Sus scrofa: one gene and its partners. The protein of the gene in region 6 purifies or fractionates together with the protein of the main gene of each other region. This does not show direct contact. Links are inferred from orthologs where the notes say so. Each region holds a gene or a part of one and is shown on either strand. Other genes may lie near its edges. The genes, in order: SRSF3, UPF1, SRSF1, NCBP1, NCBP2 and EIF4A3.

Evidence for each region.
Region 1: the proteins of EIF4A3 (region 6) and SRSF3 purify together in Homo sapiens (affinity purification with mass spectrometry; 3 studies listed by BioGRID and IntAct, with this or other methods). This does not show direct contact. The link is inferred for Sus scrofa from reciprocal best matches to the Homo sapiens genes EIF4A3 and SRSF3.
Region 2: the proteins of EIF4A3 (region 6) and UPF1 purify together in Homo sapiens (co-immunoprecipitation; 8 studies listed by BioGRID and IntAct, with this or other methods). This does not show direct contact. The link is inferred for Sus scrofa from reciprocal best matches to the Homo sapiens genes EIF4A3 and UPF1.
Region 3: the proteins of EIF4A3 (region 6) and SRSF1 fractionate together in Homo sapiens (co-fractionation; 4 studies listed by BioGRID and IntAct, with this or other methods). This does not show direct contact. The link is inferred for Sus scrofa from reciprocal best matches to the Homo sapiens genes EIF4A3 and SRSF1.
Region 4: the proteins of EIF4A3 (region 6) and NCBP1 purify together in Homo sapiens (co-immunoprecipitation; 3 studies listed by BioGRID and IntAct, with this or other methods). This does not show direct contact. The link is inferred for Sus scrofa from reciprocal best matches to the Homo sapiens genes EIF4A3 and NCBP1.
Region 5: the proteins of EIF4A3 (region 6) and NCBP2 purify together in Homo sapiens (co-immunoprecipitation; 3 studies listed by BioGRID and IntAct, with this or other methods). This does not show direct contact. The link is inferred for Sus scrofa from reciprocal best matches to the Homo sapiens genes EIF4A3 and NCBP2.

Annotation. Positions count from the first base shown.
Region 1 is NC_010449.5:32,292,119-32,296,545, reverse strand, and holds part of SRSF3 (serine/arginine-rich splicing factor 3), read right to left. Parts: intron 3,541-4,427; coding exon 3,406-3,540; intron 2,584-3,405; exon of another isoform or gene 2,126-2,583; intron 1,253-2,125; coding exon 1,214-1,252; intron 976-1,213; coding exon 889-975; intron 772-888; coding exon 744-771; 3' UTR 1-743. UniProt on the Homo sapiens protein: Splicing factor, which binds the consensus motif 5'-C[ACU][AU]C[ACU][AC]C-3' within pre-mRNA and promotes specific exons inclusion during alternative splicing.
Region 2 is NC_010444.4:59,010,393-59,015,515, forward strand, and holds the start of UPF1 (regulator of nonsense transcripts 1), read right to left. Parts: upstream 3,132-5,123; 5' UTR 2,836-3,131; coding exon 2,614-2,835; intron 1-2,613. UniProt on the Homo sapiens protein: RNA-dependent helicase required for nonsense-mediated decay (NMD) of aberrant mRNAs containing premature stop codons and modulates the expression level of normal mRNAs.
Region 3 is NC_010454.4:34,278,724-34,284,106, reverse strand, and holds the start of SRSF1 (serine/arginine-rich splicing factor 1), read left to right. Parts: upstream 1-1,988; 5' UTR 1,989-2,078; coding exon 2,079-2,272; exon of another isoform or gene 2,273-2,699; intron 2,700-2,707; coding exon 2,708-2,892; intron 2,893-3,238; coding exon 3,239-3,411; intron 3,412-3,614; coding exon 3,615-3,809; 3' UTR 3,810-5,383. UniProt on the Homo sapiens protein: Plays a role in preventing exon skipping, ensuring the accuracy of splicing and regulating alternative splicing.
Region 4 is NC_010443.5:239,502,036-239,506,618, reverse strand, and holds part of NCBP1 (nuclear cap-binding protein subunit 1), read right to left. Parts: intron 2,930-4,583; coding exon 2,773-2,929; intron 713-2,772; coding exon 605-712; intron 25-604; coding exon 1-24. UniProt on the Homo sapiens protein: Component of the cap-binding complex (CBC), which binds cotranscriptionally to the 5'-cap of pre-mRNAs and is involved in various processes such as pre-mRNA splicing, translation regulation, nonsense-mediated mRNA decay, RNA-mediated gene silencing (RNAi) by microRNAs (miRNAs) and mRNA export.
Region 5 is NC_010455.5:133,186,616-133,190,811, reverse strand, and holds part of NCBP2 (nuclear cap-binding protein subunit 2), read right to left. Parts: intron 931-4,196; coding exon 792-930; intron 1-791. UniProt on the Homo sapiens protein: Component of the cap-binding complex (CBC), which binds co-transcriptionally to the 5' cap of pre-mRNAs and is involved in various processes such as pre-mRNA splicing, translation regulation, nonsense-mediated mRNA decay, RNA-mediated gene silencing (RNAi) by microRNAs (miRNAs) and mRNA export.
Region 6 is NC_010454.4:2,283,813-2,288,905, reverse strand, and holds the start of EIF4A3 (eukaryotic initiation factor 4A-III), read right to left. Parts: upstream 3,228-5,093; 5' UTR 3,212-3,227; coding exon 3,043-3,211; intron 604-3,042; coding exon 531-603; intron 1-530. UniProt on the Homo sapiens protein: ATP-dependent RNA helicase. Involved in pre-mRNA splicing as component of the spliceosome. Core component of the splicing-dependent multiprotein exon junction complex (EJC) deposited at splice junctions on mRNAs.

The DNA of each region.
Region 1 (4,427 bases), on a different chromosome or scaffold from region 6:
ACAGTAACTCAAAGTTCAGCTCTACAATGTACCCTTAAACTGGTAGAACATCAGAATGTATCTTGAATAGTCTCCAATTTTCAAATAAAGAATGTTACAAAGAGCTATGTATTCATATATAGCAATCACAGAAGGAACTTATGACCTAAAGCAAAAGTAAACTAATTTTCCTGAAACTTCTTAGATTCTATACAACTGGACAATATCCTGTCCATTATGAAGACTAGTGGGATTTTTAAACCTCTAATCTAGTAGTTTAATGATGCAGCTTTAACTTTTACCTGCTGGTTTGCATTCATAGCAGCTTTTAAAGACTGCTTGCTCAACTACAACTGCACACCATATTCCAGCTATGGAAAGTCTTCTCAAATTTTTGCCGGTTTTGCTTCAGTAATATTGAACATCACAGTTTAGCTGGGCAGGAGTTAGAGGTTTATTATCAATCTATGCAAGACTTAAAAAAAAAAAATCAAATTCAATTTTGCTTAAGGGAACATTGTAAAGTAACAATTCTTGGTATTACATGCCTCATATGATTCATTTCAAACCATAGAGAATTACATCTTTATGTGTAAAAATTACATCTTTACTTTTGTTGCCAAGAGACAAACAAATGTGAACAGCTAAAACATCTTAAAAATGCACCAAGCTTATGAAGTCTCAAACAAAACTTGAATTTTCTGTACATACTCCTGTCAAATGAAGTTATTTGCTGTACACCACTCCTCTTGCAAACTGGTTTTCTATTTCCTTTCATTTGACCTGGATCGGCTAAAAACAAAAACCAAAAGTTACAAAAATTGTATCAAAATGACTTAAAAGAAGTACTTGTTTTTAGTACATTATGTATGCAAGGTCTTTTATGCCTCAGGTCATTAAAGATCTTACCTACGAGACCTAGAGAAAGAACGGGACGGCTTGTGATTTCTCTCCCGAGAAAGTGATCTCTCTCTTCTCCTATCTCTAGAAAGGGACCTGAAGTCAGAGGGGAAAAAAAAAATAGGGCCATTCAGGATCATACACCCGTATTTCCAAGATTTTGAAAAACTAAAAACTAATTTTTCTTACAACTTAACAGTGGTTACAGATACTACCTCAGTCATTATGAAAGTCAACATCTATTACTATTATCTAAGTCATTTGGAAAACAGCTTAGGAACAGCACAAATACTCCCATTTCTGAGAACGTGGCCCGCAAAAAGTAGTTATTTACCTGCTCCGGCTACGGGAGAAGCTTCTCCGTCTTGGAGATCTAAAAGCAGAAACAGGAAAATTAGACTAACTGTCAATTAGCATTTATGGCGTGAGGCATTTCCCAACTTTTCAATCTCACTGTTGGGCCCAGTGAATGTGCCGAAGAACTGGCACCCATCGTCCAAAAATAATAAAAAAAATTTTTTTTTAAAGAAAAGAAAAAAGGCACAGAAGGATTAAGGAACCAAAAGCTCAAGTGAAAAGCAGGTATCCAACCATGGATTCACTTTAACAAAGAATGCTTCACAGCAGATCTGTCCAATGCAAAACTTTCATGTCAAACTAACTTCACTACCCAAACACCACACCAAAATGTAGTCCCACAATAGTTCCAAAAACAGTACCATAAATCAGTATTTGGAACCCATGCAAACCTATAAGTCCATGACAAGACTTAGGTACCAGGTGGATAGTGTAATTCTGTGAAAACGCGCTAGGTGTAAATATTGATGCCATTAAGTGCTACATTAGAACTGCCATTTGTGATCGTCACATTTAAGAGTGTGTTTAGGCTTATCAAAATTACCTTAGCTTGGCCCACTTCACCCCCAAAATTTTAATTTTTGAAAACTGTTAGTAAAACCATTTAAAGGTGATAGGATTCAACAAATTTTTGCTAGAAAGGAAAGCTAAATCTGTTAGAATTATTAAAATTTTAGTTTGGCATCTCAAACATGCAAATAAGTTTCACTTGAAGGTCTAGTTACATTATGAGTTCCCTATCACCCTTAAAAGTTTTATTCAAGCAATATATATGTACGTTACCATTCAATTATGCACAGCCAGCCTTTGATCCAGAAAAAAGAATTACTTTAAGCCGCTTACTCCTTATTTTAACCAGCAGTAAACTGTATAAGCAGGAAAAACTTACTAGTTTTTGGGTTTCAACAAGCTAGAAATGGTGAGGTGAGGCTGCCGGACTGACGGCCAGGAAGAATTTGCTGAAAAGGTTTTGCCAGATGTTGCGTTGGATTTAGTTGGTTGGCGAAGGGGGTGTTGTGGATTTTTCCTGCTTTTTTGTTAGCCGAAGGCTGCTGCTGTAGTTGTTGTGAAGACATTTGGTAAATAAACAGCTGAGCTGATTGGCCAGGAATGTGTGGGCGGTCGAGGTGGCTGCTGCCGATTTGGTTAAGGTTGGAGAGAAGGCTGAGAGAAAACAGCATGCTCGGGAACCAAAGGGCGGTGCAACCTGACGACTGGCCATGCCTGGGTCATGTGAAACGACACCAGCCAAGCTGAATGGGGCGCGCTGGTCACATGACGCTGAAAGGGCTAGTTGACTGGCTAATGCAGATTCAGAGGGTGGTGAGAAGAGACATGATGGTGACTCTGTAACGGGGTTCATTTTTATTAATAGATGGACCAAAAAGCACAAAAAAAAAATGAAAAACAAGCCATCAGTACAACCATCTATTAGCTAACAAATACTCTTTATTATGATGGGCAACAGTGTGTTGTTTTGTTTTTCAAAACAGCAAAAGGGGCAAGATTTTGAACTCCTATCTCCTAGAAGGACTTCACTCACCTGTAAGAGGTAAATTCAGTCCTATAGAAACTATTTTGGAGGTTTGAGGAGATGTGGAGTTAGCATCCAGACAATACTGCCTGGTCCAAGAAAGATGCCATTTTTAATTATAAAAAAACTGAATTCTCTCCTATTTGGGTTTGAAGAACAGATGACTGGGATTACTTTAGCCCCCTTTATTGGTCAGTGACTTAAGTTAGTTTCAGAATGACTTCTACTTTACCAGTTGCAACATTAAAACAGCTGCCTGTTTGATAAATATTACAATAGTAGAAAACACATTTTGGTGAAGAGCTAGAATTGAATGTAATGTTTGTCATTATGGAGTCAAGAAATGGAAAAAGGCCTAAATTGAAGTATAAGGGAAGACTTGGAAAGATGCAACTAGAAGATGAACTAGAAGATAGATCCAAGATAGAAGTTACTGACTACCAACATGAACAGTGACCTAAGACAAAAGCCAACACTCAGCACAACTCACATACCCCAAGCTACGCCCAGCAAATGTTTCATAAAAACCTCTGATTCTTCAAAGTTTAAAACCCACCAACAAACTTTAAGAGAATACCTGTTCCTATCAGCTACTCCATTACACCAATACCTCTAAACACGCTCTCTCTAAGTACCTGCGGCGAGGTGGAGGACTCCTTCTCCGATAATCATCTCGAGGGCGACGACCCCAAGAAGGAGGTGGGCCACGATTTCTACTTCTCTTTTCACCATTAGAGAGTTCCACTCTTACTCGGCAGCCACACAGCGTTCTAAGAGGGAAGAAACATTAAATTTAAAGCAGCCGGATTGATTAAAAGATACACATTAAAGCGGGAAAAAAACCCCAACATTCATTTATAGCTAGTTTCTGTGTAAGAAACATCTGAATGCTCATAGAATTCTTAACACCAAAACAAGGTTTAGTTTCTATATTTTTTTCTGGTAAAAAACACCTTCCTTACATTTTATTGCTTTGTTAGTCAGTGTGATCATTGGGTTCAATGATCACAGTGACAATATTAAGTGTGAAAATCCCTGGATCCATTCTCAAAGAATTAGTTCATCTGTACATGCTGGTGTGACTACTTCCTTTGAGGTCCCAGCAATTGTTTACCAACCTTACTATATTTGTTGGTCTCCTTTCTCTTCATACCTCCAAGTAAAGAGCAGTAAACAGGACAGAAGCATTCTGGCCATTTATTTAATACAACCCTCTCCACTCAATCATCACACAATAGTTGACAAGAAATTGCAAGTGAGAACAGTAAGAAAGTTATCTCCCACCTCTTCATTGGTCCACAACCATTAAGTTTAGATAAGCCACATTTGGACAGACACTGGGAAGAGGTGGGGCTCTCAACCAGTTTCTGCAATTTGCTTAGTTAAGTGACCTTTCATATAGCTTTACAGCCAACTCTCAGATCCTTTCAGTTTTCCATCTTAAGGATCAAAGTTTTCCTTGATTTCATGAAATCCAGTGGTTTGCAAATGCCAGGATAAAGGGCAACACTAGTTCACTTTAAGACTCAGGTGTTATTTGAGTTCCCCGGTGGCTCAGCAAGTTAAAAATGCAGCACTGGAGACAGTTTGGGGGGGTTGGGGGATGGAAATCCTATAAAATTGGATTGTGATGATCATCGTACAACTAAAAATGTAA
Region 2 (5,123 bases), on a different chromosome or scaffold from region 6:
TGTACACAGATGTTCACAGCTGCATTCTTCATAACAGCTAAAAATGGAAACAATCCAAATGTCCACCAACAGGTAAGAGGATAAACAAAATGTGGTCTGTCCATCTATGGAATATTACTCAGTCATCGAAAGGAATGGAGCACATGCAACATGAATGAACCTTGAAAACAGGCTCAATGAAAGAACCAAAGACCACATACTGTATGATTCCACTTATATGGAATCATACCGAGGAGATAAATCCAGAGAGAAAAAACAGCGGTTGCTTGGAATTGGAGAAGGGAGGACTGACAGACTAAGCGATGTGGGATTTCTTTTTACAGTGATGCAAATGTCATAAAATCAACTGTGGTGGTGGCTGTGCAACTCTGAATGTACTAAAACCACTGAACTGCTCACTTTGAATGGGTGAAGTATATGGTACATGAACTCTATCTCAATAAAGCTGTGAAATGAAAGTGGATGCATAGCATGTGACAATTCACAGCCACTCAGCCAGTAAGATAAAATCAAAAGGCACTCAGAATAGAAGCCCCATCATACAGCTGGTTACACAGACAAGTCTGAAGACAAATAAGGAAAATCTTCCCAAATGTTGTAGGCAGCCAATGCCTCCAACTGGCACAGGAGATACTCAATTTTTTTCCACTTTCTGGTTCTATTCAGACTCTCCTGCCCCCAAATCCAAAGCTTCCTCTTGTGACTCCAAGGATATTACTCCCCAAAATACAAATCCAAAGTTAGGCTACAGAGTTAAAGTAAGGAAGGACAAACCGTTTTGATGTCATCAGAATTCAAATGAGTTCAACTATAATGTTTCCCTCCAGTGGAGTGTTTTAATGCTCTTATTTAGTACAGTTCAATGGTCAGGTGCAGGAAAAGTAATCAATTATTGCAACTAAAAGAGGACACGCCCCCACAATTAACCGAAAACAGAAACCAAGGACCAAAACTACAACTTGGAGCTGCCCAGGTTTGCTGTTTTATAGGCTACAGTTTAAAAAGGATTTGCAATAAAACAATTACCTTTCACAACCCTGAGCTACCATAGGTCATGACACACTGCTCAACCAAGAGATTTTTATCCTCAGCTTCCCGGACATGGTGGACGCAAATTATAGACAACACTATCAGGTCTATCCGTTCATACAGAAGTCCAATTTCACATATGTCTAAAGGTAACCAAATAAGAGCTGTTACCCCCATTTTAAAGTTGTGGGAACAAATCTACAAGGTATGAAACTACAAGTGTTATCAAGAGTCTCTGGTGGCTCATTCATGTCTCCATGCAAACTTTCCCCTCTAACTTCCCCCATCATATGTAAACAAAACTGAAAAAACATACATACATGCACACCTGTTCTCCCTGATGCCCCCACCCATCAAGCATCTATTTTTAAGGAATCTGAGGTTAGAATGAGTCAAATGTTTTTTGCTTCTATTAGGGGCTAAGAGAAAGTCCAAGTGGGTGGTCTACCCATGGGAGTGACTCAACCAACTACAATGTAAGCCCCCTTCCCCAGGACAGGGTCTAAGCTCACTCTGGCTGAGGACAGGTTGGCTCCCCAAGATCTGACGGTGGGTCCTCATGTCAAGGGACACCTGCAACAAGGCAAGCCCTATATCTCCTCCACGGCTGAGAATTCAGGAAAATAAAATCAAAGGAGGTACCAGGCAAAGAAATGGAATCTGAGATTCAGAAGATGATGGCTACATTCCCAAGTGAGCCCAGTTCAAGACCACAGCCAGCCCCCTTGCCCACCCTAGGGCAGGGCCCCAGATCCAGGAAGTGTATGCCCAATACTTCTCATAACACAAACCCAAATTTAAAATAGTCTTCACATCATTAAGAACAAAAGTCTCTGACGTGGCAGACCAATTTAAGTAAAACCCACCACTATTACCCCGTTGGAGGAACAAACTCAAACCCAACTTTTCCAAGGCAGGGCTGCGGAGTTACGTAACAGGTCGGTTTCAGCAACAGGCAATGCCAGAAAGAAAAACAAAACGCAAACTGCCTCCTGAATAATCTTAAAAGCCAACGAGTATGGGGTTCACGACTGGAGGCAAAAGTTCCGTTTCTGCTGGGGGAGCCTCGACCCTCCTCTCACCAGCGTCCCTGAGCCCAGGGAAATCTGAATCCGCCGCTCAGTGGGCATAAGAGGGGTAAGGGAGAGTGCTCTGAAGGTTCCGACCACAGGTAAGGGGGTGGGGCAGGGCGGTCGGATCAGCCAGAGGAGGGGACCGGAGCAGATCACCGACCCAGCTGGAGAACTCGGGGACAGGTCATCCCCGACTTGGCCAAAGACAGACCCGGAAGGGGACTTGGGACAGATCGCGTAAGACCTAGCCTGAACGAGATCCTGAAATCACCCGGACGCAACCAGAGCAGGACTTGAGGTAGGTTTGCCTGGATCCGGCTGGAGAGCGGGAGCCGGGGCAGGTTACTCCGGGGACGTCCTGAATGGGAGAGACCCCGCCAGGTTACTCCAGGCCCGACTGGAGTTTGAAACACGAGCACATCAGCCTCTGCCCCGATGGAGGGGGAGCCAGGGCAGGTTCCCGGCCGCCGAGGCCTGGCCCCATCTTCCGGCGCCGCCATGTGCCGCTCACCTGAGCGTCGAGCTGTCCGGCGGCCGCGCCCGGCCCCGCGCCGACCGGGGCCCCAGCGCCTCCACCTCCAGGACCACCGGGGGGCGTCTGCGTCTGGCTGGGGAGGGTGAAGTCGGTAAACTCGAACTCGGAGCCCTGCGTGTCGGCGCCGAGGAGCTCGGCCTCCTCGGTATCCAGGAAGGTGAGCGTCTGAGAGCTGGGCCCGTACGCCTCCACGCTCATGGTGCCGCCGCGTAGGGCCCTCAGGCCGGCTCCGCGCCGCACTCGAGCCCGCCGCTGCGCTGAGGCCTAGGCCGCAGGTCTTGGGCAGCCGCCGCCGCCGCCGCCGCCGCCGCCGCCGCGCCCGCGCTCCTGGACAAGATCAAAACGCCCGCCGCGGTGCGAACCGGGTCGAGAGCCACGCGCGCCGAGCCGCCGCCTCTGCCGCTGAGCCCCTCAGTACCACCGCTTCCTTCGGAGCCGCCCGCCCTCGCAGCCCCCGGCAGGAACCGCCGCCGCCGCCGTGCGCGTGCGCGAGCCCGACGCCGCCGCAGGTGCGCGTGCGCGAGCCCGACGCCGGCGCAGACGAACGCGCTCCTCGAGGACGCCTCCTACCGCGCCCGGACTCCCGGAGCTGAGTGGGCCGACAGAACGCGCAGCGCGCAAGCGCGGGAGGCGGGGCTTCCAACCGTCTTCCCGACGGCGGCTCGAGAAGCTAGTCTCGCTCCAACCGCTCCTCCGTGGCGCCTGGGCAGCGGATGGTGTAGATGTGGTGGTCCTTGCCCTTAGGGGCGGCGACAATGTCTTGGGTTAATTGACCGCCAACTGAATACCTTACACAGGTGGAACCCAGCTGGGGAAGCTTGTCGAGGACGGTGCGGTGCGTCCCCATCTTTTAGAGAATCTTCCTGGGCCTGTTTCCTCACCTTTAAAATGGGGATGCCTGGCACATAGTAGCTGCTCAGTGTGCATTTGTTGAATAAATTAGTGGGGACAGCCCTTAGCACAGCACATAGCACGCAGAAATGGTGGTTGCAGCAGTTCTGTACAATTATAATATTATTCAGAGGCAGTATATAACAAAGCACTTGGGAGCACTTGCTCAGGTTTGAAATCCAGACCTGGCCACCTACTGGCTGTGTGACTTTGTGCAAATGATTTCACGTCTCAGCCTAGGATTTCCTCCGCTGGGAAAGGGAAATAATAACCATTAAGATGGGCTGAGGGGAGTGCCGGTAGTGGCTCAGTGGAAACAAATCTGACTAGGAATAATGAGGATGCAAGTTTGATCCCTGGCCTCCTCAGTGGGTTAAGGATCTGGCATTGCTGTGAGCTGTGGCCTAGGCTGCAGACATGGCTTGAATCTGGAGTTGCTGTGGCTGCAGCAAAGGCCAGCAGCCGTAGCTCCAATTTGACCAATAGCCTGGGAACCTCCATATGCCGCCACTTCGGCCCTGATCTGAGGAATGTCTGTGACCCATACCACAGCTGATGGCAATTCCAGATCCTTAACCCACTGAGCGAGGCCAGGAATGGAACCCACATCCTCATGGATGCTAGATTGGGTTTCTTAACCACTGAGCCATGATGGGAGGTCCCTCTCGGAGTTTTAAATGCATGCCCTACCCTGCCTTTGATCTAGCAATTCCACTTCTAAGGATATCCTCTTATTTCCTACATATACTCACATTCGCAAAATGGCACTGTGGGAGTTCCTGTCGTGGCGCAGTGGAAACTAATCTGACTAGGAACTATGAGGTTGTGGGTCCGATCCCTGGCCTCACTCAGTGGTTAAGGATCCATCGTTGCCATGAGCTGTGGTGTAGGTCTCAAACGAGGCTCAGATCCCGCGTTGCTGTGGCTGTGGTGTAGGCTAGCAGCTGTAGCTCTGATTAGACTACTAGCCTGGGAACCTCCATATGCGCAGGTGCGGCCCTAAAAGACACACACAAGAAAAGACAAAATGGCACTGTGGGTGATAAACTAAAACATAACCATTTAACACAAAAGAAAGCAATAAAGGAGAAATTGGGGGGAAAAGATACCACATATAGAAATAAATGGCAGAAATAAGTCCCTATGAGTAATTTATTAAATGTAAATGATTAAACTCTCCACTTAAAAAAGGAGTTCCCATTGTGGCTCGGTAGTAACGAACCTGACTAGTATCCATGAGGACTCGGGTTCAATCCCTGACCTCGCTCCGTGGGTTAAGGATCAGGCATTGCCATGAACTGTGGTGTAGGTCACAGACACGGCTTGGATCCCACATTGCTGTGGCTGTAGTATAGGCTGACAGCTACAGCTCCAATTTGACCCCTAGCCTGGGAACTTCCATATGCTGCAGATGTGGTCCTAAAAAGACAAAGAAAAAAAAAAGAAGAAGTTGTCAGAATTGATTTGTTTTTTAAAAAATCGTGATCCAACTATGCTGTCTTACAGGAGACTCGCTATAGATTCCAAGACAAGTAGGTTGGAAGTAAATGGATAGAAAAGATATTCCATGCAAATGGTAACCAAGAGAGAGCTGG
Region 3 (5,383 bases), about 32 Mb from region 6:
TGGCATAGGCCAGTGGCTACAGCTCCGATTCGACCCCTAGCCTGGGAACCTCCATACGCTGTGGGAGCGGCCCAAGAAACAGCAAAAAGACAAAAAAAAAAAAAAAAAAAAAAGAATCCGACTAGTATCCATGAGGAGGCGAGTTCGATCCCCAACCTTGCTCAGTGGGTTAAGGACCCAGCGTTGCCGCAAGCTGTGGCATAGGTCACAGATGCAGCTCAGATCCTGCATTGCTGTGGCTGTGGTGTAGGCTGGCAGCTGCAGCTCTGATTTTAACCCTAGCCTGGAATCTTCCACATGCCGCAGGAAGAAAAAAAATATCTATCATTGGAGGATGATCTAAAAGACAAAAAAACTGTGCGATACCCAGTTTTGAAAACCATCAGATTTCAAGGACTACTACTAAAGATCTTCTGTGAATCTGTTGAGCAGCAAATTAAATTTGCATTTTGGGATTACTGAGAACACTGTTAAAATACATGCAATCGCCTTTTAGAACTGAAAACATGACCTTCTGAAAAATCTTTTTAAGGCACTTTGGATCTTGAATATACTGTTTCCTTCTTTACTGTGACTGCCATGATGACTAGGGTCAAATTTGTAATCCATCTTTAGAACTCACAAATTTTTACTGCAGCCATTTTGTGTATTAACTTTATCCATGACTTCATTTTAATTTCCCCTTATATTCTCCGTGATTTCTCCATTCAATTGCAATAACGTTTTCTGGTATCTCTGTAAACAGCATCACATCACTGGGGAGAGGGATTGATGCGAATAAATAAAAATGAAGAAAATCATCCTCTCAATCAGGGTGCAGACCTGTTTCAGCATATTTATGACAGGGTTTTTTTTTTAATTTGAATTCACCATTAATATTTTAAAATCCCAGTATTTCATATAAAAATCCAGATTTCAGATGGCTCCGTGGCAAAATGTAACAAGTTCTTATCTCCCTGGACCAACATGCTGGCGAGATGAGTCCTTAAGCCGCCACTTCGGTCTCCAGTGGTCACAGAAATCCTCACACATCCACTTTGCTCATTCATATTACCTGAGAGATTTGCTAATGAGTTCCAAAAAAGGAAGGAACGTCAGGATTCTGCAATACAAACAGGAGGGCGCGCGTCTTTTTCGTTCTTTGAAAGACGTTGTAGAAATAACAGACACAATTCATTCTGCAAACCTTCACTGGACCTCTCCGCTGCGCTGGGCCCTGGCGATAGGTGATTTAAAAAAGAAGCAGAGGTCTGGGTCCTGGTTGGCTGATGCCGCCAGGAATTACCGCCACGAGCACAAGGAGCGTTGAACTGAGGTCAGTTCTGAACCGAAGGTGGAACGGTACTTAGCGTAGAATATTTATTAAAGCGTCTCAGCCAGGTTCCCCTGCATTAGACAGTCGTCCAAGCAGTCCACGGCCCGTTCGCAGATGGGGCGGGAAGACAAAGTCACGTCTCGGCTCCGCGTTGATTCACCCGCAACGCGACTCCTGAACGAGGTGCACTCTCCAAGGATGCCCGTGTTTCCGGAGCAACCGCCTGGTCCCTCCCCCTTTGACTCCGCCCCCGGCAGTCTTTCCCGCCAAAGGCCGTTAACAGCGCAGAGCATGGTGGGACCTAGCTTTAGGCTAGGTTTCACCAAATACTTTCAAGACGCCGTTTTTTTGAGAGAAACATTCCTGAGGAAACTGCTGATTCTTTAGGATTCGACAGAGATTAATAACCCCTTTTACGAGAGCTCTATATTTAATTTTGCCACAAGGCTGGTCACTCCCTTATTAAACCCCTCGACAAATCGGGAAGGCGGGAACTTTTTTCCCTTCGCGCGGAGGGTGACGTCGCGCTTGCGCGAGCGTCACTCTCGCAGCACCCGTTACGCTCTTGCGCGTGCGTAGTGAGATCGAATAGCTGCTTCCTCCCGCTTCTCTTCCTCCCTCCCCCCCATATCCGTGCGCCGAGCTGATAAAGGCGCCATTTTGGAGGGGCCGCGGGAGACGTGGTGTCGCTGCGGGCTCGCTCTCCCGCTCGCTAGGCTTGGTGGGAAGGCCTGTTCTCGAGTCCGCGCTTTTCGTCGCCGCCATGTCGGGAGGTGGTGTGATCCGTGGCCCGGCAGGGAACAACGATTGCCGCATCTACGTGGGTAACTTACCTCCAGACATCCGAACCAAGGACATTGAGGACGTGTTCTACAAATACGGTGCTATCCGCGACATCGACCTGAAGAATCGCCGCGGAGGACCGCCCTTCGCCTTCGTTGAGTTCGAGGACCCGCGGTGAGGCGGCCAGGGGCTTGCGGCCTTGAGGAAATAGGTTGGAGTAGTTGGGGAAGGCTCCGGGGCCTTCACTTGGGGAATGGGGCGGTGGGTTCTTGGGTTGGGGGCCAGACGATATCGCCCATGCAGGAGTCGAGTAAGGAGCCGAGTCGGCGTGGCTCCTCTGGTGGCCGGGCCCCACGGACGTCCCTAGAGCCGACTCGCAGGCTCGGAGCGGGAAACTGAGGCGCCGAGGGCTGCTGGAGTGGTCGGGAGCCTGGCGTGCTTCTGGGTGGGGGAGGGGCCGTTCCTATTATGCGGCGCATGTGGGCTCTTCCACCCCGGTGCGCATGTGCGGGGGCCCGCTCGCTCCCCGGCGGAGTGAGCCGCCCCTCCTGGCCCTTTTTTTTTTTTTTTCTTCTTTTCCTTACCCCTTGGCTTTCTCTGGTCACGCAGAGACGCAGAAGACGCGGTGTATGGTCGCGACGGCTATGATTACGATGGATACCGTCTGCGGGTGGAGTTTCCTCGAAGCGGCCGTGGTACCGGCCGAGGCGGCGGCGGGGGTGGTGGCGGCGGGGCTCCCCGAGGGCGCTATGGCCCCCCATCCAGGCGTTCTGAAAACAGAGTGGTTGTCTCTGGTGAGTTGGCGGGTCCGTGCGGATTGATGATAAGGGGACCGCACACCGTTTTGAAGTTTTTCTTGGTGTTTTCATGCCAGGTCTTCACTTAAACCGGAGTGCCTTGGGTGACTTTAGTTAACAAGGACTACTCTATTTGAGACTTAGCGAATTAGGTTGCAGTACCTAGAAGATAAGAAGAGCCTTAACTTTACAAATAATTTTGGACTCTTGATTCCGAACTCTTTTAACAGCTCGTTAAACGGGATGTTAAAGACCGTTGGTTTTAAGTCTTGTTTTAATGTAACCTTTATGTTTAATGTGAAACTTAGGATAATTGGTATTGAAAGAAAACGCACTTTTTCAGGACTGCCTCCAAGTGGAAGCTGGCAGGATTTGAAGGATCACATGCGTGAAGCAGGTGATGTATGTTATGCTGATGTTTACCGAGATGGCACTGGTGTCGTGGAGTTTGTACGGAAAGAAGATATGACCTATGCAGTTCGAAAACTGGATAACACTAAGTTTAGATCTCATGAGGTAGGTTATATTCTTTTCCTTGGCCAGAATTGGATACAGTGGTCTTAACAGTGGAATTTGAAGGTAAGATTCAGGCAAGGGTGTCCAAGTAAAAACCCAGTAAAGTGCCAGATTTCTGGTTTGAGTTACGTTGATTCATTCAGCATGCCTGAAGACAGGTGAAAGCTTAGATCTTTCAATCGAAAGTTCTGTCTATCCAATAGGGAGAAACTGCCTACATCCGGGTTAAAGTTGATGGGCCCAGAAGTCCAAGTTATGGAAGATCTCGATCTCGAAGCCGTAGTCGTAGCAGAAGCCGTAGCAGAAGCAACAGCAGGAGTCGCAGTTATTCCCCAAGGAGAAGCAGAGGATCACCACGCTATTCTCCCCGTCATAGCAGATCTCGCTCTCGTACATAAGATGATTGGTGACACTTTTTTGTAGAACCCATGTTGTATACAGTTTTCCTTTATTCAGTACAATCTTTTCATTTTTTAATTCAAAACTGTTTTTGTTCAGAGTGGGCTAAAGTGTTGAATTGCATTCTTGTGTAATATCCCCTTGCTCCTAACATCTACATTCCCCTCATGTCTGATAAATTGTATTTTAAGTGATGTCATAGACAGGATTGTTTAAATTTAGTTAACTCTCCATGCTCTTCAGACTGTGATACTGTGTAAATGTCTATTCTGCTCTGGTTTGTGTGAACTGGGATGTTGGGGGTGTTGGTGGTTATCTTACCTGGGGAAGTTCTTATGTTTATCTTGCTTTTCATGTGTCTTTCTGTAGACATATCTGAAGAGATGGATTAAGAATGCTTTGGATTAAGGATTGTGGAGCACATTTCAATCATTTTAGGATTGTCAAAAGGAGGATTGAGGAGGATCAGATCAATAATGGAGGCAATGGTATGACTCCAAGTGCTATTGTCACAGATGAAATTGGCAGTATTGACCTTATACTAAAAGGCAAGGGTTTAAAGTGATTATATACATCTATCTTAAAACACTTGAAAACATTTTATGCAGTTATATTTGGCTACAATTGCTTTACTCTTTAAAACTCTGGCAATTGTGGCAAAATTACATGGCCCATTTTGTAACAATTTGTTTTGCTCCCTTCCCTTTTTTGTTTTATTAGGGACTAATGTGGGAAGAACTGATTAATTTGTCACAGTGCTTAGTTACAACTGTTAATGTGTGACCTGCTGTTGGTGTACTTGTGGGTACAGGGTGTCTTTAATTCCAACCAGATAGAGTATAATATCAATACTGCTAAATCTGCATGTCCTCTGTGTGACTGATATAATAGCGTTGCTACTTCATTTTTTTAAGACAAAATGAAAGCAAAATAATAGAATTCCAATTTATTGGTGTAGATAATCTAGTTGGGAATACTTTTTAAGTCTCACGTTCCCCTTTAATATTCATAATTGACTCATGTTTAAAACACTTTAATTTACAAATTAAATTGCAGTTGGGAGCATTAGATTTAGTTTAGACTTAGGTGGGTAGCAATACCAGTAAACTTTTAAACTACATAACTTTTTGCAACCACAAAACCTGTAATACGCTGTACAGTAACAAGTGTTGGCATTATCAGTTGAACTGTAAATATAAAATGCTTCTTCCAGTTAGTCTCTATGATGATTAAGTTTCTAAAATTTATCTGAACACCATTCAGAAACTTGTTTTGGGGAATTTGATAGTTATTGATGTACATCTGTTAAACTGATGACAGACATAACTCATCATTCCCCAGAAACCTTTTTTGATTACAGTATCTAACATTTTGCCTCCTCTTTTTTGGTTTTGCTGGTTATAAAGGTTTGGATTGGAGAGGGCTCACTGGATCCCAATCCTTGGAGCTGGATCATTGGATTCAAATCATAATGTGGATAGGATAGGGAGGATGAATTACAAGGATTCATGGAGCGGGATCAGATTACCAGGAACATAGGAGTGGATTCCTGCCCCAACCAAACCGCATTCGT
Region 4 (4,583 bases), on a different chromosome or scaffold from region 6:
ATACACGTACCAATCCCGCCGCACCTAAAGAATATTTAAAATAGGTACAAGTGAATTTTCATACATAGTATATCTATTCTTCAATGAAATCCTATGGACACTAATTAAAAGGGCTTAAAGAAAATATCTGGCTCATTCAGAGTATTTTTAGATACCTTAGTTTTAATCTTACCAGAATGGATCATTTAACTAAAATACAGATGTCATGAGAACCCACCATTAAGCCAGCTGACCTAATTTTTAGATATTAAGTTTTTTTGCTATAGGTGCAGCATGTGGAAGTTCCCAGGCTAAGGGTCGAATCAGAGCTGCAGCTGCCGGCCTACACCACAGCTCATGGCAACTTCAGATCCTCAACCCACCAAGTGAGGCCAGGGATGGAATCTGAATCCTCATGGATGCTAGTGGGGTTTGTTTCCGCTAAGCCACAATGGGAACTCCTAGATGTTAAGAATTTATAATGTGATAACCTGCCGTGAATCTTTTGGGTTTTTTTAATTACTAAAGGGTGAAAAATTCGTGGTACTGTATGGATAAGATTCCATACTAAAGAGAAAATACCTGGTACTGTATGGACAAGAAGCAGCATAAGGGGTCTTCTTACCTGAGGCACATCTTCTTCCTGAGTAACACTTACAAAATTTTCAAACATAGCAACCATTGATGGAGCAGCAATGACATGACAATTCACAAGATCAGATAAAAAACGGACCTGTTGGGTAAAACAATTTCTATTAAATGTAAATGCCCTTTATAGTAATTATAAAACAAGCAATTGCGTAAAGGTTGAAACCACAGGTCTGAAAAACTATAGCCCAAGGGCCAAATCTAGCCCAATGCCTATTTTTAAGCAGCCTGTGAACTAAGAGTAGTTTTTAGATATTTAAATGCTAGAAAAAGACCCAAAAGAATATTCTGATTCACACAAGTTACAAAAGTAAATTTCAGTGTCCACAAATCAACTTTTACACAGCCATGCTCATCTATTTACATACTATCTGCAGCTGCTTTTATGTTCTAATAGCAGAGCTGAGTAGCTGTGATAGACTACAGGAGGGACAGGAGTCTGTGCATTGATAGCTTCACATTTATACTGGAATAAGAACCTAAACTGTAATATTCTAGCTACTACAACTTTTGCTGTTTGGCTGTGAAGGAAATTTTCACTGGACAACAGAAATGGAAATTCATGAAAAGATATTTATTGGGTGTCCTTTGTGTGCCACTGCTGAGCATATTAGAGTCTCTGTCATATGGGGGCTAATAGTCTAGTGGGACAAGCCAAATCTCAACGCAAAAGGATGAATCCTATACTAAAGGATAAATTAAAAAGTGCTCTAGAAACAGAGATACAGAGAGAGGGGAAAACATCTTAAGGGAGTAACAATCCATCTAGGTCATACAGAATGAGTAAAGTTGTCCTCCAGCGGGGAGCAAGGAGAGGGTCTAGGCAGAGAAGTTCAAAAACATGGTGCAGGGACCTGCAAATATTCTGATACAGCTGGAGGATATATGGGAGGCAAACAGAAACAGACTAGTGCAACCACTGAGGGTCAGGCTTAATGAAGAATCTGAACTTCACCTTATAGCCTGATGGGTGTCTAAATTCTTTTGTGTACTCAACAGAAAAGAATCTGATCACATACTTCCAACATATATATTATATATTTTATAATATACACTGGCCCATTGTCAATCTATGTATACAACTAATAAGGCTTAATTCCATTTCCATTTAAGATAAATAAGAGTTCTAACAGTTACTTCCTGCATCATCTTGTTCATGGCTTTGAAAACCATCCTCTGTAGACAATGGGAAGGAATTGAGGTTTTTAACACGTAACCAATACGAACAGAACCTTGTTACAGAAAGACCACTCTGGTGTCACTGTAGAAGATAAAGTGAAAGGTAGAGAATCTGGATGTAAAAAGATCAGTTAAGAGGCTACTGAGACATGAGGAGGAAGGCATGAACTATATTAGAGGCCCTGGAGACAACGGAGAAGGGACTGACTGGAGGAAGAACTCTAGACAGGACTTGGGGACTGCTCGGAGTAAGAGGGGGCAAAGGCAAGACAAAAACGAATGCTCCGGCTTCTCGATGGACTATCCAGTAACTAGCAGCCATTTGTGCAGGTTGGGGTGAGGACAGAGGAAAGAAGATATGAATAATTCATTAATTCAGGGAATTCCAGGCAAGATACCTTAGGGCTATCCAGGTAGTATTTGGAACATAGGTCTGGAGTTCAAGAGAAAGGTTGAAGTGAAGATACAGATTACAGATTTGGGGTGTGTGGGTGTGTGTGGGTGTCCTCAACATAAAGGTAGTTTATGAAGCTATGAGAGAGAATGAGAATGCTTTAGGAAAGAGTATTTGGAAGAAAATGCAGTGAGGACAGCATCCTAGGGAAGACAAAAATTTAAGGGACAAAGGAAGCTGCTCCAGTAAAAGGAGACTGAGAAAAAGAAGGTACGTAGCAGCACGAGGTCCTGAAAAAGGAGGTGCTGCAAAAACCGAGACTAAGAAAGCAGTACAAAGCATCACATGCTGCAGGAAGGTCAACCAAGATTTAGAGTGAAAAAAAGTCACTGGACTTGGTAAAATGAGCTCTGTACCTTTAATGAGAATGGTTTCAAAAGGGCAGCTGTTGTGGTGAGTGGGGAACTGTATTTCAAGAGAAAAGATAAATTATTTGGTTGTAGCTCACCTCTTCCCTCCATTCCAACACTAACATATCATATCAAAAAAGCCTCCCAAACCGAAAAACTTACCAGATATACAGCTTCATTATAATTGTTTGCTTTCAACGATTCTTTAAGTTGACGAATCATGGCTTCTACAAATTCTCCACCAAAGTTGTAATTCCTGGCATTCAGCAGTCCAACTAGTGTTGTATAAATTGTCAACTTCTCAGGTAACAGACGTGCACTAATTTGAGAACCCAGAACAACAAGAAGATCCCAAAACAATAGCATTAAGTTTCTGAATTTTACATTATATAAATTTTATCATTTTTATAATTTTAGAAAAGCATCACATTTAGCTATATTTTAAAAACTACTTCAGAAAAGGCATAAATATTGAATAGAGTTGCAGATATGGCCCCCTCAAATTTTTCATTTTAATTCTAGTTAATCCACAAGTTAAGAAAGTTAAACACTCTTAATTGTGAAGTCATCAAACTAAAGATATAACTAATGTTAGACTAGTTTTTCTTCCAATGTGCTTAGTGGAACTGAATAGCAGTTCTACAGAAAATGGTCTCTATGGTAAAATACCTGGAAATTGCTGTGAAACAAGTTTCCTCAATGCAGAATCAATAAGGGGGAGAGAGAGCATACAAAATTTCTAAACTTCGCAGACCAACTGTCATGGGATCAGAATTCCACTTTGAGAAATACTACTCTAGTTGCTTAGAAAAAATTCAGAACTAAACCCAGTTTCTATCAGTTAAATTATTGAATTTCTAACATGGTACCCAATGTAGTAAGATGTCTTTACATCCCAGTTTGCTTACTTAAGTGTTAATTTTCATTAAAGTTATGTGAAAAATAGAGAAGAGGATTATAGTCATACTTCAGAAAAAGGTAATGTTGACCCCTAATTTAGGCAGTCTTCAGAAATTAGCTCAAAAAGAAAAGCAAATATGAATTCATGATCATTCAGAATCTCCTACACTTTGTGTTTTCCCAAAGTTCCTAGCATGAGTATTAAGGACAATTTAGGTTTAAAAAAAAAATAACTTGCATTAATAGTAACCATTCAATCTTTACCCTTCCCCACCTCAGTCATGGCTTCCCTTAGAGTTTAAGCATAAATATACTCCATTCAAATAAATGCTTTCAGAACAGAAGGAATCTAAGCATAACTACAGTAAAGTAATTCTTCTTAGTAGTTTTCTAGCCTAAGGACATGTTTTACTGAATACTGACTGGATTCTTTCAAAAAATTGTATCTGAGGAGTTCCCGTTGTGACTCAGTGGTTAATGAATCCGACTACTATACATGAGGATGAAGGTTCCATCCCTGGCGTTGCTCAATGGGTTAAGGATCCAGCGTTGCCATGACCTGTGGTGTAGGTGATAGATGCTGCTCAGATCCCATGTTGCTGTGGTATAGGCTGGCAGCTACAGCTGTGATTCGACCCCTATCCTGGGAATCCATATGCCACATATCTAGCCCTAAAAAGACAAAAAAGACAAAAAAAAAAAAAAAAAAAGGTAAAATCCACTGCTAGTTTCAATTCGTGTGTACATTTTTAAATTAAAATTGAGCTGTAAGCAATGGAAAAAACAAAACAAAAGCACATTATTTAAGAACAACTGAAATAACAACTTAAGCCACCTTCATAATGAAGACTTCTTTATCCAGAAGTCATAGCTACTTCTTCACAAAGCATACAGTTTAGAGTGATCCGTGTCAACCGGAGAGATGAGGAAGTCTAGATTGCTAATTCCACTGCTAAGGGAGACTATTTCATGATCTCATGTGAGACTTTTCCTACTGTAATGTCCTTACAAATTAAATACTAATACTTGTTCTAGCTCATCTAACTCAGAGAAAAATCATACTTATTATGTCA
Region 5 (4,196 bases), on a different chromosome or scaffold from region 6:
TATACACACCATTAGTGCAAAAAAACATGCCTCCCACAAATATGTCAAATAGCTAATCCTTTTCAGATGTCGTAATGTGAACAATTCAAGCAGAGCATAATTTTGGGCAACTGATATAAACTAACTGCCCTGCAAATTTATTTAAGACATCTTTTTAACCAAACATCAGCTTATACTCAGCATTCAAAAATAGCACAATTCCAAATACTTAGACTATTTAAAATTAAAAATATGGAGTTCCCGTCGTGGTGCAGCGGAAACGAATCCAACTAGGGACCATGAGGTTGCGGGTTCGATCCCTGGTCTCACTCGGTGGGTTAAGGATCCAGCGTTGCTGTAAGCTGTGGTGTAGATCACAGACACGGCTCGGATCTGCTGTGGCTGTGGCTGTGGCATAGGCTGGTGGCTGTGGCTCCAATTAGAACCCTAGCCTGGGAACTTCCATATGCCGCAAGTGTGGCCCTAAAAAGCAAATAAATAAATAAAAATAAAAATATGAAAGTCATTTCAGTACATTTTGCTTTAGTTTTAGATGCTCTTGCAGGTGGAGAATATTTAACTCCTAGCAGGAGTCCAATAATGGATGCTTTTAGAGATAGACGGAATATACTATTCAATGGTTTTTAAAAGTAATTTACCAATCCCAATGGGTGGTTTTCAGATTCACTTCAAGCCAAAGGTTACAGGCACAAAGTTATTTTCAAAAGAGGAAATAAAAATTGACAAAACACTTGTCAATTTAGGACTGGAATTCCAGGCAAAGGCTGAGCCCAGAGAACCTTCCTACATACCTGGCCCCCAGATCGTCCACGGCCATACTGCCTGCCCTCTTTAAAGCCTGCATCCCAGTCTGTGCGAATGATGCGGTCATCCAGACGAGTTCCATTTATGTACCGCATGGCATTTTCAGCATCTGCTCTTGAATAGTATCTTAAGTGTAATTATTAAGGAAATAAGCATTTCTCCAAATGTTTTTGTAAACAGAGGACGCAACATCATAATGAAGCTGAGTTGTTAAGAAACAGCACAAAAACTAATCCAACCAGATGGAATTCAAAACAATAATATGGCTTGCACTGGCTGTCTGAGTTTGGTCCAGAAGCACTTAGTCAAATCTTACACTTATACACAGCTACAAAATCATTTTCTGGATAATTCTGTTAATTATCTTGGCCCTACTGTCCCCATATTTTTGTTTGCAAAATATAAAATGTTTAGTTCAGGTTTAAATCATGAACTGTTATCTAAGGGGAAAATAGCACCCAAATATGGAGCTATATATTAAGAACAATCTTAAAAAAAAGAAAAAAAAGGGAAACAAATCTGACTAGAATCCATGAGGACATGGGTTCGATCCCTGGCCCCAGTGGGTCAGCAATCTGGCATTGCCATAAGCTGTGGTGTAGGTCGCAGATGTGGTTCAGATCTAATGCGGCTGTGGCTTAGGCCAGCAGCTGCAGCTCTGATTCAACCCCTGGCCTGGGAACTTACATGTGCTGCAAGTGCAGTCCTGAGAAGCAAAAAAAAAAAACAAAAAACCTTAAAAAGAGATTACGGTGCATATGAATTGCCACTGCATTTCATTAGAAGGAAAGATTCAAAGATTACTCCGGTTAGTAGTTCCAAATCTATTTCATCAGGTCTACTGAATCTTTGGGGTGGTATTAAAACAAGACAAAACTCTGTAAGTAATTAACTGGGTTTAAGAAATGCTGATCTGGATTTTTCCCCCTTGTCTTTAGCAGGTAGGAAAACACTTGCTAAAATTTAGTGTCCAACATCCACACAATACCTAGCCCCCAGTGGGCATTCAATAATTTTTTTGTAGAAAGAAATGAATGCTAAAGGGCAAGCTGAAAAGAAAAACCCTAGCAGTGAATTGTACCCTTTCTTTCAGGTTATTTGCCATCATGATTACTGATCTTTGACCTTCAAAGCAAATGCAAAACATCCCAGTTCTTACAGATGGGTTATTATCTAAGATTTTATTTGCCTTTTTGTCCCCCGTGAACTATTTTACAGTTACCAGATGTGAAAGAAAGACCTAGGCACTCATCCCTTGTGTCTGAAGGGAGAGTGGAAGAAGCTTGCACAGCCCAGAAATCAGATACCAAAATCCAAAGTGGGGAGTAGGTTCAAAAGTGGGGCTTCTAGTTCAAGCATCTGATAGCATAAGCAGGAGCACATTTTCTCTTCTTTCCTTAAGGCCCCCATTAACATGACAAAAAAGAAATACATACCCAAAGAGTAGAAGGGGCCATCAGGAGACTAGAGATTCAACAAAGATGAAGAGTGCTAATAGATGAAACAAAATCACAGTACAAAATATTCTTAAAGAAGACGATAGCAAACCCAAGAGAATCTTAATTCAAAGTTGAATAAGAAACAAGGCTGCAAAGAGGGTCTAATTAAAGGGGTCTATGTGGGAAGAAAACCTGTTAGCAGGAAGGCATTTAATCCCAGGCAAATAATAAAGTGATACGGTTATAAACCATCTGGAGGAACTGGGCATTATCTTTGATGTTAACAAGCCGAAATACAAATCCATTTTCATTCTGGCATTAGACAAACCTGCATGTCCTAAAGGCAAGGCAGCAACTTGAGAAGCTCTACCTGGGTCAGTTTTTTCCCCTAATTATGATCAGAAACCCAGGGATCACCAGAAATTTAAGGAAAATTTATAGCATAAATACAACCAAAAGAAACAATTCAGGGAGTCCCCATTGTGGCTCAGTGCTGGAGACCATGGAACAGCAGAACTCTGCAGAACGCAAGTGTCTACGGCCTCAGAGTTTTATTTTATTTTTTTGTCTGTTTGCCTTTTCTAGGGCCACTACAGTGGCATATGGAGTTCCCAGGCTAGGGGTCTAATCTGAGCTGTAGCCACTGGTCTACACCAGAGCCACAGCAACCTACAGAGCCACAGCTTCTGTGACCTACACCACGGCAACTCTGGATCATTAACCCACTGAGCAAGGCCAGGAATCGAACCCACAACCTCACGGTTCCTAGTCGGATTTGTTAACCACTGTGCCACAACAGGAACTCCTGGACTCAGAGTTTTAAAGTAGAGTCTCTTTCAAAAACAAGATGAAGGACTTATGCATTAACTATGTTATTCTATAAACAGCTACATTATGTCCTAAGGATATCCCCTTTTGATATTACAAATTAGATAACCTCAGCCATTGCTGTCCCTGCCCACTAATCTTGTCACATTCATTAATCCCATCAATAATAATTTCATCACCTTCTTTAATAAAAAGATGTGGGCTAAAGCCTAGGTGCCTTTGCTTTGTTCTGCGAACACTAGCCTCGTGGTCCCCCACTTTCTAAATGTAAGAGCCTTGTGGTTGTTATACCTCGACGTCCCTCTTCCAGGATTCCCATTTCCCTGCAGCTCAGTGATAACAAACCTGACTAGAATTCATGAGGACACCAGTTCGGATCAGTGGGTTAAGGATCCGGCATTGATGTGAGCTATGGAGTAGGTCACAGACCTGCTTGGATCCTGTGCTGCTATGGCGTAGGCCAGGCAGCTACAGCTCTGATTTGACCCCAGCTCAGGAACTTCCATATTTCCATGTGCTACAGGTGTAGCCCTAAAAAGATAAAACAGACAAAAACAAAACACCAAACAAACAATTCAAGGCACAGAAAATTCAAAAGACATGTTAGATCAGGTCTGGGAAATTTCTCAAACAAAATGACCCAAAAAGGAAATATTAATTAAAAAAAACAAAAACATCAGGAGTTCCCCTTGTGGCTCAGTGGTAACAAACCTGGGTGTCCAAGAGGATGGAGGTTTGATCCCAGGCCTCACTCAGTGAATTAAAGGATCTGGTGTTGCCATGTGAACTATGGTATAGGCTGCAGATACAGCTTGATTTGGCATTGCTGTGGCTGTGGCATAGGCCAGCAGCTGTATCTCCAATTCTACCCCTAGCCTGAGAACTTCCAAAAGCCACAAGTGCAGCCCTAGAAAGCAAAAAGCAAAAAAAAGACTTAATCAACTACAAACAAAGCATGGATTTCAGAACAGAATATAAATGTTACCAGCTTTCCTAATATAAGAATACAGATACACTGGAGGTAAGAGTAGATGAAGGAAGGAGAGGTAGAGATAAGTGTCAGATGCTAATTAGTGAATATTCTCACTTATGTAACCCGCTACACTGCTACACTCGGGCCCACTG
Region 6 (5,093 bases):
GAATGATGGGCCACATGCCACTGCTCCCATCATGTGACCTCTGTCCAGCAGTGCTCCGGGGAAGCATGTGGGGAGCGTCTTACAAGTAGACCCCACTCCCCCACCGCACCCCCGGCCAACATCTTCACCTCAAGGGGGTGGGACTCAGGCACGTGTCCCAACTTTCAAATCACAGGTGATGGGGATAATAAACAGGAAGTGATGAAGCTGCAGAATCTGTAACTTCAGTGGCTAAAAAAGAGATTTCCTTTCATATAATCGTCTGATTTCAGACTCACGCAGCCAAAAAAAAAAAAACAGGCAAATTGGGAATAAAGCTATTAAGAGTATTATACATAATCCCATTTGCCAAATGATAGGTAAGGAAATTGGGCTTTTTTAAAAAAGAGCTTTCCAGAGTGGAGGACACAAAAATAAAAAGTGCCTATGGCTGAATGCAAGGCCAGGGCTGGTCACGGCGACGGAAGGAGAAGCGCAAAGGCGCTGCTGTGCTGAGCAGCCCGGCCCGGGCCCGGCTCCCGCAGACTCACTGTGCAATGACATCTCTCCCCTTGATGATCTGCTTAATAGCTCGCTGCTGGATTGCCGAAGGCTTTTCAAAACCTGTAAATTAGAGCAGAAAACAATTAGTTCTAACCGCTAGGACAGCATGCTTACAACCAGACGCTGGGGCTCCTCGAGGGCAAGGATGGGCTCTCTTTCTTCCTTTCTCTTTCGGCTGCCCCTCGGCATATGGAGTTCGTGGGTATGTGATCAAATCTGAGCCACAGCTGTGACCTACACCACCGCTGTGGCAACACCAGTTACTTTCACCCACTGTGCCAGGCAGGGACTGAACCTACATCCTGGTGCTGCAGATATGCCACTGATCCCGTTGCACCACAGAAGGAACTCCAAGGATGGTATGTTTTTTAAAAAAAAAAAAAACCCTCCTGATGCAATGTCCAACATACTGAGCTCTCAAAAAACAGCTGTTGAACAAAGCAGGATTTGTGGACTTTTGTGGATTTTTTTTTTTAGGGCCACACCTGCAGCATATGGAGGTTCCCAGGCTAAGGGTCGAACGGGAGCTGTGGCTGCTGGCCTGAGCCACAGCCACAGCAACTTGGGATCTGAGCCACGTCTGCAACCTCCACCACAGCTCCCGAAACGCCGGATCCTTAATCCACTGAGCCAGGCCAGGGACTGAACCCACAATTTCATGGATACTAGTCGAGTTTGTTAACCACTGAGCAAGGGAACTCCAGTGGATTTTCTTTATAGTAACATATGATCTTATTTATACAGACAAAATCTCTGAGGAACATTGTTGCAAACAGAGACCCTAGTTAGGTTTAAAAAAAAAAAAAGTTAACAGGTGGTTACTGCTGGAGAACAGGGGGAGGGAAGCTCACATCTTACTTCCATTACTACTGCATTGTTTGACTTCATTACAATAACCTGCATTGTTGGGGGTGTTTTGGCATCACTTGTTAAATTAAATAACCCATCACAGTCAGTCACTACTCCCTATCAGCAGTAAGTCTTTGGGTAGGTGACATCATCTAAAAACGAATGTCACCTACGCCTCCCGCCCTGGATGCCCTCCTGCCCTGGATGCGGCTGCGTGAACTGCAACCCCTCTACTGTCTGAGTAAACAAAACTTCATGTACAAATAATGGACATGAAATAATTCTCATAGTCTTTTAAAATGTAGTAAACTTCCCACTTAACACAAAAGCCAATCTAATGTGATTTAAACCCCTCATGATGACGCAGCAGGTGTTTCAGGGAAGGGAGGCCCTAGATCCCAAGAGGCAGGTGGGCTGTGAGCCTCACTACAAGGCTTAGTTGCTATAGTTCACCTCCCGTTCCCTCAGCACCTTCTCTGCACTAAACTGTCCTGACTCAAGGACTGCTGGATAAAAAAGATGCCCCAGTCCCAGGCATTAAGCACGGATGCTGCTCATTCCGGAGAGTAGCCCCAACCCCGCCTCTTCCGAGGCTCCCAGCTAGGACAACTGATGGCTCACAGGTCCCTCAAGCTCCCCTCATTCAAGAAGTGCTCCCACCATTACTCCCTGCCTGAGCAGAGGGCAGCATCACCGGTCCCATCAGCCACACACCTAGGATTTTCCTCTGCTGCTTACATCCATCTCCACCAGAAAACCATCATCTCTCCCCCGGACTGGAACAAAAAGCCTCCTAGCATCTCCCTGCTTGCTCTCCCGCCTCACCTCCACCCACATCAGACACCCCAATTCACTTCTAACTAAATATGGTCCTGTCGCTTCCTTGCATGAGACCCTCCAATGGCCTCCCCCACTGCACTCAGAAATAAAATGCACTCTCTTTATCACCCCAGACTTCACTCTTCAAGATGTGGCCCCCTCCTCCCTCCCCACAGGGAGGACAGGAGATTCTGTTCCTGGAATGTCCCCGGCTCCGGGCTGCAGGACCTGGCACCAGCTGCCCCCTCTGCCCAATTCTAACATAACCTTCTCATAACGGGCTCCTTAGCTGAGTCTCAGTTCAAATGCCAGGCCCTACTGGCAGCCACCTTGCCTATTTGCTCTACTAGTTTAACTCTCTCCTCCGCGCAGCTTGAACCAATTATCCCGCTTAATTTTCTCCGTAGCCATTACCATCGATTATACAGTCCTCCTCCCAAATGTAACTTAAACTAAGGCTTAAGCTAACTTAACTAAGGGCACGAACCTGTCTGGTTCCCTACTAAGCCCCGAGTACCTAGAGCCGCGCACCTGGCCGATACAAGACAGTTATCCGCTGAATGAATGACTCCCAAGTGCCCAAAGGACCCTGCAGCCCTCTTGGGTCCCAGCAGGGCGCGCTGCCGGGAGGACAACACCCGAACCCGCCGGCACAGATGGGGGTGGATACGCGTGGTGAGGGAAGGGGTCACCCGTGACCCACCCCGGGCTCGGCCCCAACCCGGATCCCCGACCTTCAGGACCGCCACACTCCCAGTCTCGGGACCCAGCCCTCGGCCGGGCCCATGCTCTCCGGCGGGCGCTCGCAGCCCGCGCCCCGCGCCCACCGACCGTAGGCATAGATGCCGCGCAGCAGGTCCTCCCGCAGGCCCATAGTGTCGAACGTGGGAGTCACGTCCACCTCCTCGCTGGTCTCGAATTCCACTTTGGTCATGTCTTCCTCTTTCAGCAGCCGCTTCCGCGCCGAGCCTGAGGTCGCCATCGTGGCCGTGGCCGCCATGATGCCGAGCGGGCTGAGAACCGACTGCGCGCCGCACCGGGAAGCGGAAGTAGAGCGCCGCGCCGTCGCCGCCGCCAGGAACTGACGGCATCGCGCGCGCGTGCCTGCGTAGGAGCGTGCGTCGGAGCCGCGCTCGGAAGGGGCGGGGAGCTCCTGGTCACGTGAAAGGGGAAAGGGGCGGTGCCGCAGCTCTCGAGGGGGAGGGGTTCCGCGGGATCCGCGGGCCCCGCCCCTGGCCACACCCCGCCCCTCCCCGCACCCGCGTAAGGTAGGCGCCGGGGTTCGCCCGGGTCCCTCGGCTTGGGCTCTGGGCTGGGCTGTTGCGCGGAGGGTTACCGGTTACCTGGCCGCATTACCGGTTCCTCAGCGCGGCAGGGTAGAACTGGAACTCCTGCAGACGAGCTGCGGCGTGCGCCAGGGCGCCCCTGCCGGGAGGAGGCACCCGGGTGCTGGTCCCTGCCTGCGCTCATTATCCCGTGTAAACATGGCCCCGTGGGCCATGCTTCTCTAAAACTTCAAGTGCCTCTAAAATCAAGTACCGCAAAACTGGCCTCTGAACCGATTTCATCACTTGACGGACGTTCATCTGTGTTGTGTGAGAACAGCGATAACTTTGTGAAACTTGTACTTGCCCAAGTGCCAGCTCCGTCCTTTCTCATTGTTTGCTTGGCTCCCATCCTGGGCATATCTTTAATTCACAGCCTCTTTCCAGGAGTGCTTAAACGCTTTCCTGTTGTGAAGGTTAATTCAGTGAAAACTGGGTGATCATATTATCCATTAAAATCAGGCATAAGAGTGCAGAGGTTTGCAGTTTGTTGACAGCAAACAAGTAAATGAGGTCTTTTCCTGAAGCTCTGGCCCAGACCTTAGAATATGTCCAGACTCTGCAAGAAAATTGACCTGATAAACGTGCCTGATAAGGATGCTAGTATGGGAAGTTCCCCTTGTGGCTCAGTGGGTTAAGAACCTGACTAGCATCCATGAGGACACGGTTCGATCCCTGGTCTTGCTCAGTGAGTTAAGGATCTGGCGTTGCCGTGAGCTGTGGTGTAGGTTGCAGATGTGGCTCAGAGCTGGCACAGCTGTGGCTGTGGTGTAGGCCGCCAGCTATAGCTCCAATTTGACCTCTAGCCTGAGATTTTCCGTATGCTGCATGTGTGACCCTAAGAAGCAAGAAAAAAAAAAATGCCAGTATTACTCAAACCTTAGAGTTCCAGCTGTGGCACAGAGTAAGTTGCTGCGGAGGGCATGGGTTCAGTCCCCAGCCTGTGCAGTGGATTAAAGTATCCCAGGTTGCCACAGTTGGTCACAGCTGCAGCTTGAATTTTTTTTTCTTTAAAGGGCCACACCTGCAGCATATGGAAGTTCCTAGGCTAGGGGTCAAATCGGAACTACAGCTGCCTGCCTATAGTAGCCACAGCAATTTGGGATCCAAGCTTCTGCAACCTACACCACAGCTCACAGCAACACCAGATCCTTAACCCACTGAGACAAAACAGGAACTCCCAGCTGCAGCAGGGATTTTAATCCCTGGCCCAGGAATTTCCATACACCACGGTTCAGACCTTAAAAAAAAAAATTAAATATTTATAAATCTGAATTTCTTTCTTAGACTTTAAAGTGAATAAAATACAAATGTATACAGAATAAGTTGCTGCGGAGGGCATGGGTTCAATCCCCAGCCTGTGCAGTGGATTAAAGTATTCTCAGGTCTTGCGATTCCACAGAGGGGTTATCCGTGTCCTCTCTGAAGTAGCCCACATTGTTTTGCGAACTGTCCTAGGGCTGTGCTGTAAAACGCACACAAATTTCAGACTTAGTATAAGAAAACGAGAGGAATTCCTGTCGTGGCGTAGCAGAAACGAATACAACTAGGAACCAT